Lonchura striata: one gene and its partner. The protein of the gene in region 2 binds, or shares a complex with, the protein of the main gene of each other region. Links are inferred from orthologs where the notes say so. Each region holds a gene or a part of one and is shown on either strand. Other genes may lie near its edges.

Region 1 (3,905 bases), on a different chromosome or scaffold from region 2:
GGGGGAGCCCTGAGTGACCAGCTATGGGCCAAAAAACCAGGAGAGAATTGTAACATTACTGAGGATTTGGGTTAAGTTGTATCCATAACAAAATATTTACTTACCTGCAATATGTAGAATACAATATTTATGACCCACTTTATTTTGGCTAGTTGGGCAGTTCGTGCTTTCACTGTTAAAGAAAAAAAATATTAGTTTGCATTATTTATAATAATGAATTATTATTGCATTAAATTAATAATTTTTTAATATTTCCCTCTTTAAGGCTGGACATTACCCTGTTTGAAAATATCTCTAAAAGATTTCTAACCATATTAAAAACACCCTTCTACAACAAACTGCCAGCTCTATATCACACTGTAATTTCTATCTTGACTTACTCAAAAGAGGATTCAGTGATGGGCATCACTAAGAATAAATAATTATACAGAGAAGGAAGAGAGGAGAGGAGAGGAGAGGAGAGGAGAGGAGAGGAGAGGAGAGGAGAGGAGAGGAGAGGAGAGGAGAGGAGAGGAGAGGAGAGGAGAGGAGAGGAGAGGAGAGGAGAGGAGAGGAGAGGAGAGGAGAGGACTGAAAATGGGTGAGATGGGGAAGGTAAGTTTGAAGGATAAATACTTAAAGCTGAAAACAGTCCTGACAGCTTTTCAGAAACAGAAAATGTTTTTCCTTTTGGAACAGGGAGCAGACATGGAACTGTACCGTGGGTTTTGAGCTTGTCAGTCATTTTGTTAATCTTCCTCTCCAGCCGGGCATATCTGGCAAACTCATCCATCATACTGATGGTGGCAAGCTCCTGCTTCATGGTCTGGATCTCAGCTCTCATCTGGGATTCCTGCTCTGCATCCTTCTGTAACAGCCTGGATATCTAAGAAGTGAAGGAAGTGACCAATTACTGATGCAGAATCCCACTGATTTGCTTTAGTCTGTATAAAGTATGATCTCAAAAGCCTCCCATCAAAAAGGCCCTTTCATTGAGATGCAGGAAATCCTTGGGCAACAAGCGAACAAGTGACAAGATGAGAGTAAACAGCCTCAAGCTGGACTCAACGATCTTGAAGGGTTTTTTCCACTTTAAACGATTCTGTGATCATTCCCATTTCCAGCTCCAGCAGCCAAGTATTCCAATATTTTCTCCCTTCCTTTTACTTTCCTAATTTCTTTTATTGAGGCACTACCTGCTTGTTGGCTTGTGAACTGTTTGCCATAGAAATGCAGGCACAAAGAACATAAAATCTTTTTCTTGCTGTTCCTTAGCAAATCTTCCCCAAGACACATGTAATTTATTTCCCCAGGGATGCTATTCTCAGGCCTACAGACAGTGAGAGCATTTACACCATCTTCAGCCTCAAACCACAGCAGAAAGCTGAGCAGACATCTTCAGAGAATCTTAGAATATCCTGAGTTGGAAGGGACCCACAAGGAATTGAGTCCCACTCCTGGCCCTGCCCAGACTCCCAACAATCCCACCTGGGCATCCCTGGCAGCGCTGCCCAAAGGCTCCTGCAGCTCTGGCAGCCTCGGGGCCGTGCCCATTCCCTGCGCAGTGCCAGCACCTCTGGGGAAGAACCTTTCCCTAAAACCCACCCTAAATCTGCCCTGGCCCCCTGGCCCAGTTCCAGTCCTCCCTGGGTGCTGTCCCTGTGCCAGAGATCAGAGCTGTCCCTCGGGAGCAGCTGCAGATCCCAGCCTCAGCCTCCTCCAGACTGAACGAACCAAACGCCCTCAGCCTCTCCTCCTATGGCTGTTTCATCACTCTTCTCTAGCAGCACCGAGTTCAGCTTCCCAAATTGCTGAGGGTGATTTAAGGTTTAAAGGATTTTTGTCCATTTTTGAACAGTGCACACTGATCTCTGTGCCAGTGAAGTTATTTCTGTGGTAGAGCAGAGCGACAGGGATTTCAGCATCTTTGTACACACGTGAGTTGATCTGGCAGCCACAGCATTTATTTGTCCTCAAATCCATTATCCACGCTGGCACAGGAATGCTTCAGATCAGCTCAGGGGCACCCTGATCAGTGGCTAAGATTATAAAGATTTATTCCTACATTGACTTAATTCCTTAATATCCATATCCACTGATCTCCCACCTCAACAATGGGCATCTGTTGAAAACATGCAAGACTGAGCAAAGCTGTATTTCCCATACCAAAACTGGGGAGCTGTGGATGCCCCATCCCTGGAGGAGTCCAGGAGCAGACTGGACGGGGCTCTGAGCAGCCAAGCCCGCTGGTGGGGGGCTGGAAGCGGATCATCCTTAAGGCTCCTTGCAGCCCAAACCATCCCGCGATGCACCCAAGGGCTGCAGGCTCAGGAGCACCACTGACCTCACTTCTGTGACACTGTGACACTGGAAGCGGGGCTGCGGGAGCCACCCAGCCAGCAGCATCAGCTTCTCTGCAAGCCCAGCAGCAGCACCAGGCCCTGCCCGTCCCAGCCCGGCGCTGACAGAACCCCCTCAGCGCCCCGCCGGCATCCTGGGGTGCCCTCACTGCCTTCCCCGGCAGCGGCATCACTCACCAGCGAGGAGCAGGAGGGCAGGAGGATCTTGAGCGCGTTGCAGAGCAGCACGGCGCTGAGCACCAGCAGCCAGGCGCCGCTGTCGGCCGCAGTGCCGCCGTCGGCCATGGCCGCGGCCCCGCCCGCGGCGGGCGGCGCGGGGCGGGCCGATGGCGCGGCGCGCCCCGATCCGGCTGGATCCTGTTGCGGCGCCGCTGGCGCTGCTGGGATGGGGAGGGGGGCGGCTCCGCTGCGCAGCCGGGCTGGGGCTCGCAGGCGGCCGCGCTCGCAGCAGCCGCGCCACACCGGCAGCCGCCGCCGCGGGGGTCGCGGCCGGGAGCCTCGAGATGCCGAAGAGGAAGGTGAAGGCGAGCGGCGGCAGCGGCGACGGGCGGGAGGCGAGCGGGCTCGGCGGGGAGCGGCCGCGCCGCGGGCGCCGGTGCGGGGCCGGGCGGTGCCGGCGGCTGGCCCTTGTGCCGGGGAGGGGGCCGGGGCCGTGGGGGGCTCGGCGAGGCTGGCGGAGCGGGAGGGGGCGGCCGGGGCCGGGGCCGCCCCGCCCCGCTGACGCCGAGTGTGTGTTGCAGGTGACGGTGGCGGACGGGGACGCCCCCGAGGAGGTAAGGAGAGGGCAGGGCGGCGGGGCTGCCCCGGCCCGCCCGCCCCTCACGCCCTTCTCTCTCTCTCGCTTTCTTTCTCTTTCTCTCCCTGTGTCTGCGTGTGTCTCCCCCCGCAGCCCAAGCGGCGGTCGGCGCGGCTCTCCGCGGTAAGTGAGCGCCGAGCGGCGGGGCCCTGCCGGGATGGGTCCCCGAGGGCTGGGTCCCCGCCTGACTTGTTCTCTCTCCTCAGAAACCCGCGCCTGCCAAAGCGGAGCCGAAACCCAAAAAGTTACCGGCAAAGGTGAGAGGGAATTGGAAGAGGGAAGGGAGTGCTTGGGGGCATCCCGCGTGGTGTCCTCCGTGCACCGTGCTGGAATGGTTTGGTTCCTTGTGGGAACGCTCCCTTGCCATGTTTTGATCAGCTTTTGCCAGTATTTACAGGTACATTCCGTCGCGGTGGCTGTAGATTCTTGTTAAGCTCCAGGCATTGCATGGAAGCGTGGGCACGGATCCATGCGTGTTACATTGTGCTTTGGTATTGGGTGGAACTACCTGACTGTCAAAACAACTGTGCGTTAGGACATCAGGAGGAATTTCTTCACAGAAAGGCTGGTCAGGCACTGGAAAAGCTGCCCAGGGAGGTGGTGCAGTCACCATCCCTGGACGTGTCCAAGGGTAGGCTGGGATGTTGTTTGCTCTGCTGTGGTTGACAGGGCAGTGCTCTGTTAAAGTTGGACCGGAGTATCTCGGAGGACTTCTCCAAAATGAATGATTCTGTGCACAGTGTTGTATTTCACCTGTGTAACAAGAGGGG
Region 2 (3,905 bases):
TAAAAACTAGTATAAACTATCAGCGCTGGTCATTCAACTATACAGTTTAAAACAAGGGAAGAATACTTCACATGCATCGGTCCTAAAATACAATCTAAATACAAGTTTAAACTTAAAACACCTCAAATTAATCTAATTCTGAAAAAAAAATTACCTTTGGAAAGTACTTGGACAGTCCCATGTAAGCAAGTTGTAGAGTAAGAAACGGTGCAAATATTGACTGAAGGAACAGAAAAGAATATATAAAAATTAACTTGGTCAGAATAGCTAAGAAACACAAAGATTTAATGCTTCCAAAGCAGAAAAGAAAATTATTAGGTAAAAATTAATTTGTGGAACAGAGCAAAGTTGTTCTTGAATACTAAAAATCTAAGTAGACAAGTTACATGCCAAAAATAAGGTTCTGCCTAATATTCATTGAGCCAAAAGAACTGAAATGGCAGAAGAGAACAGCAAAGTGCAAAACTGAGCCCAGGGATCCAGGAGCTGTATGGCTGCAGCTGCATCACACCTCTGTGCTTTTGTTCTCGCTGGCACTGGGAATACTGAGGAACTACTGATAAATGAGTATCTTGGTACAACTATTATTCTTAGAATCACAGAATTATTTGGGTTGAAAGTGGCCTGAAAAGCCATTTCATTCCAAACCCATGGGCAGGGATACTTTCTACAAGATCAGGCTGCTTCAAGCTTCATCTAACCTGGCCTTGGACACTTCCACAGATGAGAGCTCTATTCTTACTCTATTATTCTTTTGTAGACCCTAAACTCGAGGAGCAGCTGACTCATATGCTCACCAAGATAGGAATAAACATGCAGGGCATTTAAGCTGCAACAACTATTCCAGTGTTCCACAACAACACACACAACAGACCAAATGTGCTGCTCTCAGTGGTTACACAGTGGCTGTATTTGTAGCAGATAAATCTCATAGAATTCAGCATTTTTTTTTAGGTTTTATATAATTTTTGGAAATATAGAGTGCCTGAAGTTCCCAACTGGGTCGTTACCAATAGACTTCAGCCCCAGATATTTCCCAGTAACTTGCACCAAGCAGCAAGCCCCAGCAGGACTGTGTCCCTGAACTCACCAGGTACTTGCACACGAAAGCCCTGACCACGATGGCGAGCAGAGCACACCCCAGCAATCTGAAAATGCGGAAAGAGTCAAACTCCTCCGCCGCATTCCCGTTCTCCTGGCTCGGCTTCTCACTCATCAGCTGGTTCCTCAGCTTCAGAGCTTCATCAAACCTGGACAGGTACTGCTCCAAGCCATGTCTCGGTGGCCGTGGTGCAGCCTCAGAGGGCAGCTCTCCCCTGTGACGCTGACGGAGCTCGCCTGTCCCCTCGGTGACCAGCTCTGGGGCTTTACCAAACAAGTCCTTGTCCCCTCTGAGCTCTGCCATGCTGCCCGCATGCTCGGTCGAGCCTGTCACGTTACACATAGAATCACCAAGCACAATCCGCTTGGAAACTGAAGGAATGGAAAGGGAGTTTGATTTCTCTTGCTCGTGCTGAAGCTTTAATTCTGTGTGACCTTCATCATCTAAGGAAGAAAAATAAAAACAGAGTTACGCATGCTGTGTACATGGAACAACACTTCAGCTACACTGGGTCAGGATCCTGGGCCTCTGCTTCCCAAGAGAAAAGACACATTTATGATTAAAGAGGGCACTCTTCATGGAGCAGACACAAGACATAAAGCTGTGCAATGCAGGTCAGAAGTTGAGGCAATAGAGATATTAAAACACTGAGCTTCCTTAAGCAAGAGCACTGCACACACAAACAGAAAGATCCAAATACATGGACTGAAATTAAAAAAAAAAGACAAAGATTTGCAGAAAGTGACCCAACCAAAAGAGCACTAATACCTGACAAAGAAGCAGACAAGAGAAGTGCACTTTAGCTTGCTGTTCTACTGTCAGAGGCAGAGCAGTGTTAATCTGTTCTGTATGAAGCCTGAAGACCCATCTTACAGAGACAGAGGTGAAGGCAGAGAGCAAAAGGCAAATCAAGAGCATGTCTGGACCTACCACAGAGCAAGAACTAACACTTCAGGAATTCTTTTCAGTGTTAAGTCAGACTGATTCACAGCTCATGGGCATCCTTATAAACCAAAATCTGAGAATTTTTCCTGACAAGACAGCCCATTTGAAGAATGTACAGAGATATAAGTGCACTACCCAGTATATGGCTCTGCAAGAAAATTCTGCGTAACAACCACAAACATCTATGTCACTATCCAAATGTGAGATAACTTGGCTATAAAAAGCCAGCTATGAAAGGCAACAGCTACTGACTAAAAACATGGGGGAAGCTCATCGATTCTTCAACTAAAAAACCTACTTGCAGTGAAATGACAGCTTGTATGCTCGCTGTCTAGGGACCGTGCCGGGCCCAAGTCCCGACCTTTCCGGCGGCACAGGGATTTTTTGGGCGGGTCCCTGGCGGAGCAGGGCAGGTCGTGCTGTGGAAGCATCCCTGCGGACGGAGGCGGCACTGAGGGGAGCCAGCCGCTCCTGCTCACCAGGGCACCGCGGGCAGCGCTCACGGCCGGAGAGGCCGAGGCGTCACCGCAGCCCCGGAGCCCTCACACAGCCCCGCCGCACCCGCCACGGGGCTCACCCTTGCCCGCCGCAGGCCGGTGGAAGCCCATGATGCGGTTGATCCGCTCCTCCGAGTTCATGAGCAGCTTCCTGCGGCGCAGCTCTGCGCGGCGCTGGGAGGCCGAGAGCCCCGCGGGGGGCCCCGGCGGTGCGGCCGCCGCTCCCGGGCCGCCGTCCGCCATCCCCGGCACCGCAGGCCCGCCGCCGCGGGCCCGCCCCGCCCACCGCGCAGGCGCCGGCGCCGCCCGCCTCCAGCCGCTGAAGCGGGCGCCGCCATTTTGCGTAGGGGCAGGAGAAGGGCGGGGCGCGCTGGGAGAGCGCTCCGCGCGCCCCTCTCTGACGGCGCGGCGCCCGCACTCAAGATGGCTGCCGCGGCCTCAGGCGTGACGTCAGGGTGCGGGGGTGGGAAAGGGCGATGGTGGCGCTGAGGGGAGGCGGTGACGGGGACACACACGGGACAGCCCCGAGTCTGGCACGGCACCGCCGCGGGGCTGGCGGTGCACGCCGAGGACACACCAACAGACAAGCACCGCTCGAGGACGCCAGAGCTACTGGCATTATCGAACAGGGAGCGTATTGACTTCTTTGCTGTAAGATCCAGTTGGCCTAATATCCATCTTTATGGCCACCGAAAATCCGGCAACACCTCTCCTTGTGTGCCAGGTAATAAAACTGCCACGTTACCCTGACCAGCCCATGACACATAGGGCTCCCATCAGCACCACTGTCCTGGCACCGAAAAGCTGCAGTGCCCTGCTCGGAGGCGCTGCCATGGGAGCGGGACTCGCCTCCAGAGCCCGGCAACCCAAAGCCACGGCCAGGACAAACCCGCTGCCAGGACAAACCCACGGCCAGGACAAACCCACGGCCAGGACAAACCCACGGCCAGGACAGGTGCCCACTGCCAGGACAAACCCACGGCCAGGACAAAGCCCACGGCCAGGACAAACCCACTGCCAGGACAAACCCACGGCCAGGACAGGTGCCCACTGCCAGGACAAACCCGCTGCCAGGACAAACCCACGGCCAGGACAAACCCACTGCCAGGACAAACCCCACGGCCAGGACAAACCCACTGCCAGGACAAACCCGCTGCCAGGACAAACCCACGGCCAGGACAAACCCACTGCCAGGACAAACCTGCTGCCAGGACAAACCCACGGCCAGCACAAACCCGCTGCCAGGACAAACCCGCTGCCAGGACAAAGCCCACGGCCAGGACAAACCCACGGCCAGGACAAACCCACGGCCAGGACAAACCCACTGCCAGGACAAACCCACTGCCAGGACAGGTGCCCAC

The links.
Region 1: CAMLG (region 2) and GET1 share a complex: the UniProt entries of both Homo sapiens proteins name them as parts of the golgi to ER traffic (GET) complex. The link is inferred for Lonchura striata from reciprocal best matches to the Homo sapiens genes CAMLG and GET1.

The regions. Positions count from the first base shown.
Region 1 is NC_134604.1:113,858,136-113,862,040, forward strand, and holds the start of GET1 (guided entry of tail-anchored proteins factor 1), read right to left. Parts: upstream 2,651-3,905; 5' UTR 2,625-2,650; coding exon 2,517-2,624; intron 866-2,516; coding exon 700-865; intron 173-699; coding exon 105-172; intron 1-104. Other genes in the region: HMGN1 (non-histone chromosomal protein HMG-14), read left to right, coding at 2,843-2,857, 3,080-3,112, 3,229-3,258, 3,342-3,392. UniProt on the Homo sapiens protein: Required for the post-translational delivery of tail-anchored (TA) proteins to the endoplasmic reticulum (ER).
Region 2 is NC_134617.1:9,338,334-9,342,238, forward strand, and holds the start of CAMLG (guided entry of tail-anchored proteins factor CAMLG), read right to left. Parts: upstream 2,794-3,905; 5' UTR 2,788-2,793; coding exon 2,625-2,787; intron 1,546-2,624; coding exon 1,091-1,545; intron 221-1,090; coding exon 155-220; intron 1-154. UniProt on the Homo sapiens protein: Required for the post-translational delivery of tail-anchored (TA) proteins to the endoplasmic reticulum.